Nothobranchius furzeri: one gene and its partner. The protein of the gene in region 1 interacts with the protein of each later gene in a pairwise test. Links are inferred from orthologs where the notes say so. Each region holds a gene or a part of one and is shown on either strand. Other genes may lie near its edges.

Region 1 (3,821 bases):
TTGTTTCATATGCACAGGTTTAACAACTTTTAACAACTATCAGTGGCAGCTGAAGTTTAAATGCACAAAAGTAAGCCATAAATACAGTTTCTACTATCAAAGTAGTCACACTTTGTTGATCCAAACACTGCTGATCTCTCAACACAAATGATGGGCAGATTAAACAGTTCATTTTGATGCTTCTCCCACACAACGGGTGTTTGGATCTAACTTCCGCGTTTATTGCTCGGACTGTATCGCAAGATCTCGAAAATCCTGCGCATGCTTGTTTGCCCACCTCAGGTCTCCGCACCGGAGCGGAGCCGTTGTAGAGCGGGTACCAGTAAAAATTGAGTTCGGAAGCGAGCGGCTGCGGAAGGCGGGGGCGGACCGGACCGGAGCGGAGCGGAGGTAGTGGAATTTGGGGGTAAAAGGCTAGGTTATCCAGAGTTAGCTCTGTAGTTATGCTGCTATAGGCTTAGACTGCTGGAGGACACACTGACCACTTTCCACACTCGACTACTTTCTTCTACAATCTGCTCTTTAACTGTATTATTTCCTGCTGTTTCAGCTGTTAACTTTATTTTCTCTCTAAGTGTTTTTCTCCCCAGAAGAAGCTACATCGATGTTCTGCTGAGCTGTGGTGCCCTCATGGAGGGGGCCATCGTCTAGCACACTGCTGCTAACCACTTAAACATTCTCCCTCTCCTGATAATAACATTTTACTTTCTTTGACATAGAATGTGCTACTACTAGTTTACCCGTTTAATTATAGAATCACTAGGATCACAATGTAACCATGGAAACATTACTTGGTGTGTGTGTGTGTGTGTGTGTGTGTGTGTGTGTGTGTGTGTGTGTGTGTCTGCTCTATCTTCTTGATCCCCAGTGAGTCGTGGAGGATGGCTGCTTATACTGAGCCAGGATCCTCTGGAGGTTTCTTCCTGTTAAAAGGGAGTTTTCTTCTCCACTGTCGCTGCATGCTTGCTTAGTATGAGGATCGCTGTAGCGTCAGTGACTCAATGCAATTAGCTGGGTTCCTTATATAGGAAACTTTTTTCTGATTGGCTTAATGAACTGGGGACTCATTTATCAAACATTGAGTAGAATCCTTACTAAAACCGTACTTAAGCTCAGCAAAAAAAAAAAAAAAAAGTACTTACACCAAGTAGGTTTGTGATCTATCAAACATGGAGTACGCACAGCTGCACGCAATCTCTGCTCCATAAATCGGAAACTATCTACAAATGTTCTCAGCTGCTTTTTGGTCACATCCCGCCCTCATCACACCCACTTACTGCCATAAATATTCAATGCAAAGTGCCTTGTGGATCTCATGCATATACATAAGCCGGCTTGTTGCAGTGCTCCGCCAATGACATGGCGACCGTAGATCAAGGCAGACCAAGGAAGCCCAATTTCACAAGTAGAAGTTGAGGTGGCGAAATGAAAGGAAGTGCTTTTGCAAAACAAATAAGAGAAAATCCACGGAGTGGCACAGTGTTGCTGAAGCCGTCAAGAAGAAGGAGAAAATATCATTTCTATAGCGCCTTTCAAGATAAAAATCACGAGGAGCTTAATGATGAGTTCCTGTGGCGGATATAAAAAAATGATCCAAACAGGAGTCGATCCCGACTCCCGAGTGAAAGTCACACGCGCTAACCAGTCAGCCAAACAGTAATCTCTCTTGTCCAAGTAGCCAGGGCACATGATCAATCTTATCACAGTGACGAGACACACACACTGTCACAGACGCACGACATTCTGCCTCAATCTGTCCCCCTGCTGATATTCTGCATTCCGTATTCTGCACTTCAGGCTGTGTGTGTGTGCGCGAGCTCGTGTGTGCACGCGCATGTGTGTGCATGTGGGGTGTCTTGTTCTGTGTGAAAACGAAGCAGTACAAGTGATAATAATGCAGGATTTCATAATTTTATCCTTCTCAGCAGCAGCACTGCAGGTGCTCTCCATGTCCAACATGTGCGTAAGCCAGGTCCTTAGTCAACTTAAAGTTGCGCACATTTTTCCGCTAAGTTTTCCTTCATAAATCCCAAAGTTTGCGTGGAAAGTTGCTTACGCAGTTTTCCGACCCCGTTTTGTGCGTAAGCAAGCTTGATAAATGAGGCCCCTGGCCTGTGTTGGAATGCTTTATTATGTGAAGTGCCTTGAGACAACTCTTGTGATTTGGCGCTGTATAAATAAACTTGAATTGAATTTTCTAACAATTGCTCCAACAGTTGATCTATTTTCACCAACCTGCCCAGCAATTGCCCCGTACCTCTTTCCAGCCTTATGGAGGTCCACAACTTTGTCTCTGGTGTCTTTTGACAGCTCTTTGGTCTTGCCCATGGTTAGTAGTTGGGAGTCTGACTGACTGACTGTGAGGTGGACAGATGTGCTTAAGAAGCTTAGACAGGTGATGCCAGTTTAGATTAATATGTGGAGTAGAGGTGGACTTTGAAGTTAGAGTAAAATGTCTTTGAGCCAGAATTCTGCCGATTCCTCAGGTGTTCAAATGCTTACGGCCCCCCCCCAGTAAATCAAACACGAAGACATCAACTTACCACAGTTTGGCCTTTTTCTGAAACGCTGTCGCCCTTCTCAGATTTACTCTCTGATACATGACCCAGTTTTCTCTTTCTAGCAGCTGGTGGAAACAGAAAAACAACACAAAGCGTGACAGTTATAAGAGAAAAAAAAGCCTTTTTAGTTTTTTAAACAGTCAAACTTACATGGAAAACAAGATTTCAGGAGCATTTTCTGAGTTTTAAAAGACATGTTGGTGTTGCAACGATGTGTTTAAGAGATATAGCCGAATCAGGAGGCAAAGATTGGCTCATTCTGCCATGCAACACCTGAGCAGAGTGGTGCCAACTGAGACTTCTGCATGAAAACTAGTTTTCTGATTCAACCAAAAGCTGCAGGTCGGTACGAACAATCCAAAAACCAGCTGAAGTGATCGGCGTACATTGAATTAATTTAAAAACCACACAGTAGAAGAGGACCTGTAATTACGAGTGCTGGAGAACAATCGGAGGAGTAAATATGATCGAAGTTTAGAACTTACCTGTTTCAGAGTCAGTAGAGAAGCAGGTGGAGGAACCCGACGTAGCAGGAGTCTCAGCGTAACTCACCTGTCGAATAAAAAAATGCTAACCTTTCAGAAAAAGTAAAACAACAAACAATTGTGGGAATAAAAATGTGTAACAGAAGTCATTACTTGGCCGGGTGAAGGCCTGTTCATGGTCTTACGGGCCCGGTGGATCTTGTGTGGACTCGGGGAGACAGAAGGTGTCAACGAAGCTGAGCCAGATGAAGAGGAAGAGGAGGAGGAAGAAGAGGAGGAGGAGGAGGAGGAGGAGGAGGATGAAGAAGAGGAAGAGGAGGAAGGGCCAGGTGGGAGGACGGATTTACAAGAAGACGGCCCGGAAACGCTCATCTTTGCCCGACCAGGGGAAAAAAATGAAGAGGTGGAAGGATAAGATGACATTGAGGAAATGGACTTTGCTGCGTGACCTGTTAAGAAGAGATACAAACTGTTACTGAAGATGAAAAAACATGTTACTAAAGATTAAACTAAGCGATCACTACGTTAAAAAAACAGTCAAATTTTAATAATTCTCTTCAGAACCTGATTAAGTCAGGAGCTTAGTCAAAGACTGGTTTTGAGTTTCACCTGCAGCAGGTTTGTTAGGTGGGGAGGAAGCAGGAGAGCGCTGACTTCCATCCTCAGCAGCGCTGGAAGTCTCCTTCTCAGGATGACTGGTCATCAACTCCAACGACACACCATCCACTGGATCTGTAATGCTGGCAGCATCATCTAAAAAACATTCAAAACAAGT
Region 2 (4,445 bases), on another chromosome or scaffold:
GGATAGTAACTCATGCACACCAAATAGCCGTGTGCACCAAATAGTAACTTGTGCACACCAGATAGTAAGTCGTGCACAATAGATGGTCATGCACACCAGATAGTAACTCGTGCAAACCAGTTAGTCGTGTGCACCAAATAGTAACTTGTGCACAACTCGTGCATACCTGATAGTGTGTTGTGCACACGAAATAGTAATTTGTGCTCACCATATAGTATGTTGTGTGCACCGGATAGTAACTCATGCAAATCAGATAGTCGTGCGCACCAGATAGTGACTTGTGCACACCAGAGAGTATGTTGTGCACACGAAATTTGTGTTGACTAGGTAGTATGTTGTGTGCACCAGATAGTGTCTTGTGCACATTATTTACTTCAGCTGATATTAGTCAAAGTCAAGTTTGGGGTTCTTGATCCAAAATGACGTACATGTTTTTATAAATGAAGTCCTATTCGCCGTTATGGCTGCTCTCGTGGTCTGCCTGTATCTGTCCTGTCTATATGTGTGTGTGTGTGTGTGTAATCTTGGTCAGGCTGTTCTGTGGAGTCAAGTTCCTATGCTCTGGTTCGCTGGAGCGCTGGCAATAAAATTCTCTCTGATTCTCTGATTCTGATTCCTCCTCAGCTGTTCGCTATAGTAATCTGAGTCCGTGGACATTGTTTTGGCTAAAAAGAAAATCTGGTGCGCACATGAAACCAACTTTATTTTTACTTGTTTTCAGTCAGTCCAGTTAACTAGCTTTTCTCTGCTGGAAGAAAACATGTCAAGACAACATCTGGACTTTCTTGCAGCAGCATTGCGAGATGTCCTTAAAGGTGCAGTATGTGAGAATTTAGTGAGACTTTTACAGAGGCAAAGTCCCAGAAGAGTCTAATGTTTCAGTCATTTTGGAAGGAAGGTTAAACTGAAACATGTTTCATATCCATCTGACTGATGGTCAGTTTTTCGCCTTTCAAAATAAAAGAAGGAGGGATGTAACTACTGTTTACCATCAGTGAGTGTGGGGTTGCCCTGTTTCCTGCGAGCTAACGCTGCAGCTCCGACAATTGTAATTTGACGACGGCTGGCAAAAGCTCGGGTTGTTTAAAGTGACTGCGGTAACCACATTTAACCACAGGATGTCATTTTACTTCATTTCTACATAATGCACCTTTAAGTCAGTGTTGTTTCAGAAAAAACAAACGGACGTTTTGCTTCAGAGTTATTTTTCCTTACTTGAGGATGACCAGTCCGCAGCAGGATGGGGGCACCTTGGCGCAGAGGTCCTCCAGAGCGAGCCTCTCCCCGGTGCTGATGTTGAAGGAGGAGCGAGGCATGCTGGCCAGCCAGCTGTAATCCACTCCGCTCTTCAGGCGCCGGTACTCGTTCTCCCTCTCCTTCTGCAGTCGTTCGGTTTCCTTCAGCTGCCAGCTGAACTCCAGCATCAGGGTGTCGGTGACCACGTCGGCCGGGTCTTTGCGGGGGCTCCGATAATAAGGCTCATTCCAGCTGAACCAGGAGGCCATGACCTCGTTCTCCTCCACCCTTCACTACAGAAGTAGGGACACTAAATTACTGCCACGTCTGCTTAATCTGATGGATTTATGTGTGGATTCTTGATTTTCTTTTTCCTTTTCAGGATTCGCAAAATAACCAACCAGGTGAAGGCTAAAGCTTTATATCAGTCCTTCACACAAACATCAAAACACTCCTTCATCTCATCTTCCACCAGCTCTTTGTTCTGCAGGTGTTTTAATTCTGAAGCTTTTGTTTGAAAAGCCTTTTTGTGATAAAAGTACCGCAAATAAATAAACCTGGAGCGTATGATTGGTATTTAATCAGGTTTTTTTTCTTTGTGTTAATTTTTGCTCCTTCTGTTAGTGTTTGATTTAAATATTTTGCAAAAATAAAGTTTCCGGCTGCGATCATGAGCATTCAGTCATGTAGTTTTAAAGCACAGATTAAATGCAAACATCCATCCTGTCTTCTTTAATGTGGGTTTCAGTGCCCTCTTTTAATCTGGCAATAATCTGTTGACATGCAGCATCGCAGCTGCTCTCCACGCTTCCCTCGGCTGAACTGTCCTGGGACTTGTGGGTCAGATTAACCACAACGTTCCAAGGAAAAGTCAGAGAGACGGTGTGGGATTAGAGCAACACCTGCTGCCGCACATGCATCCACCAGCCGATCAGACCGACCCGGGGACCGAGCCGACGAGACGAGATCAAAGCAGACATTTAGCTCAACATCTATGCTCAATTCTAAATTAAATATTAAGGTTTCTTCACGAAGCAAAACGTGAAGCTTCTCATCGTTGAGAAGATTTTAAGGATAAAAGAGAGAAATCCTTTTATTTTGCATTGATTTTGGTAAGATGTTACTTAGACAAAAATGTGAGTATTGGAAATGGTGAGTCCAATTTTTGATTAAATGAAGTTATTCTGGTGCAAAAATGCATTAAATGTCAAGGACATTTGTTTATATCTGCGTTTATTTGTGCAAACATTCATCAAATAATCATCAGAAAGTAGTTTTTTAATTTAGAAATCATTTTGAATAGAAAATTCTCACGTTTTACAATATTTGTAGGTTGATTTAGGGTTTTTGTTTAAAAAATACTGAATTTTCAAAAGACTGTCTGTGAAGTGTTGCTGCCTACTTCAGTTATAAAATCAGAAAACTAGCGATCAGACTTTCTGTGTAAAATCTTCCTTATCTTACCTGATTTTAGAGTTAGGTTTTGTCACGAGCGTCACTAAGGAAACAAAATCCCAGCGGAACAGAATGAAAATCCTCAGACACCAGAAACCCAGCTGGATACTGAAAAGTGACAGAAGATAGATGGTCTCCTTCTCCTTCTCGCCTCTCCCATCCTCTCAGAACTGTCTCCTCCTCTCAGAGTGTTTTCCTCCTCCTCCTCCTCCTCCCCCCGGGAGCCTCGGCGGCCTGACTTTACTTGTTGCAGGAGGTTGAGGGCATCATCTCCAAGGGGAGCCATTGGATCACAGCCCCTGATGAAGTGCTTATGTAGCTTTTTACGATTTGCCGTTGCCATAGCGATGCTCCTAAGCCCATTTGCCCACAATAAGCTCTATCAGCTGAAAGGGAGCTGGAGAGCGACGAAGAGGCAGAGAGAGAGAGAGAGAGAGAGAGAGAGAGAGAGAGAGAGAGAGAGAGAGAGAGAGAGAGAGAGAGAGAGAGAGAGAGAGAGAAGAGAGTGGGCTGAGCAGCAGAGATGGATGGAGTGGATGCTGCGGTACGAGTCCATCAAGGAGAGGTCACCACCGTGTGAATGAATGAACTTCCCTCAGATAATGAGGCGTGATCAGTTTTACAGGATGTGTTTTAATTCATTACAGGAGGAAAGGAAATTTTCTGAGATGCAGGTAGTCGAGTTCAGGCTGAGCGTGCACTTATTGTGTAGGTGGAAATCAAGGTTTGTTGGTTTCTTCTGTGTGCAGGTGGGAGGAACCAACCTCAGACACGTTCTCTCTTTGCACATATTCCTCCTCCTTCTCCTCCTCCTCAGTTTTCTGTTGGAAGTCAAACAAAGAGTGACTTCACAACACCATTAGAGGAAATTTAACATCTTCCTGTGCCGCTGTGCCAAAACATTTTAAGACAAACATCAAAGGATTTTACTGTGGATGGATGAGTTTGTATGGCAAGCCATTTGTGTATTTATCCAATCTTCTTTTGCTCCACAAATCCAACATTACACCACAGTAGTTGGATCAAACGCTGCTCAAGTTGAATAAAAACATTACTAGCAATAACTTTTTACCATGTAGTGGGAATTTTTACCAGCTAGTTAAAGCTGAAGTCGTAGTAGTCAGTCAAAGGGCTGTACTAGCAGGTCAAAACCCATAACTAGTTAACGTATTCTTAGTAAATCACTGAGTAAAACTTGAAGATAGCAGTAATAAACAGTTTAACTAGAAAGCATCAAAACCCTTTTATGTTAACTAATCAACACAAATGTGTAAAATCTAATTTACTATTAAAACACTAAGTTTAACTAGTTGATGGTATTTTTCCTTGCTATGTACGTAATTGCAGCAAGTCATGTGCTACTCCTCGTGTATCAACTACTAAAAATAGTAGAGGTAGGACATTCTACTAAAAATGTCCGAACTGTTTACTAGTTAACAACTACAGTTAAATGTGGTCCTACTAGTTTACTATCAAAGCCTAAAACTATTCAACAACCAGCTAATACACCTAACATTGGTACTACTAGCTAATTAGCAGGGTCTAAACTGTTCACTAATCAACTAGTACAAAGGATTCCTGGTCCTGTTGGTTAACCAACAAGGCCCAAACTATTTACTAGTCAACTGGTACACATTATTTTGGTCCTGCTAGTTAACTAAAATGGCTTAAATTATTCAAATAGTCAACTAGTACACCTTTAGTTATACCATGTAACTAGTAGGGCCTAAACTAGTCACTAGTCAGCTAATGCA

The links.
Region 2: the proteins of ehmt2 (region 1) and rd3 interact in binary tests that used the Homo sapiens proteins (3 or more experiments, as listed by UniProt). The two-hybrid records come from large-scale screens. The link is inferred for Nothobranchius furzeri from reciprocal best matches to the Homo sapiens genes EHMT2 and RD3.

Annotation. Positions count from the first base shown.
Region 1 is NC_091759.1:8,513,354-8,517,174, reverse strand, and holds part of ehmt2 (histone-lysine N-methyltransferase EHMT2), read right to left. Parts: intron 3,800-3,821; coding exon 3,656-3,799; intron 3,496-3,655; coding exon 3,200-3,495; intron 3,114-3,199; coding exon 3,047-3,113; intron 2,627-3,046; coding exon 2,544-2,626; intron 1-2,543. UniProt on the Homo sapiens protein: Histone methyltransferase that specifically mono- and dimethylates 'Lys-9' of histone H3 (H3K9me1 and H3K9me2, respectively) in euchromatin.
Region 2 is NC_091742.1:7,770,697-7,775,141, forward strand, and holds the start of rd3 (protein RD3), read right to left. Parts: upstream 2,842-4,445; 5' UTR 2,701-2,841; intron 1,530-2,700; 5' UTR 1,506-1,529; coding exon 1,216-1,505; intron 1-1,215.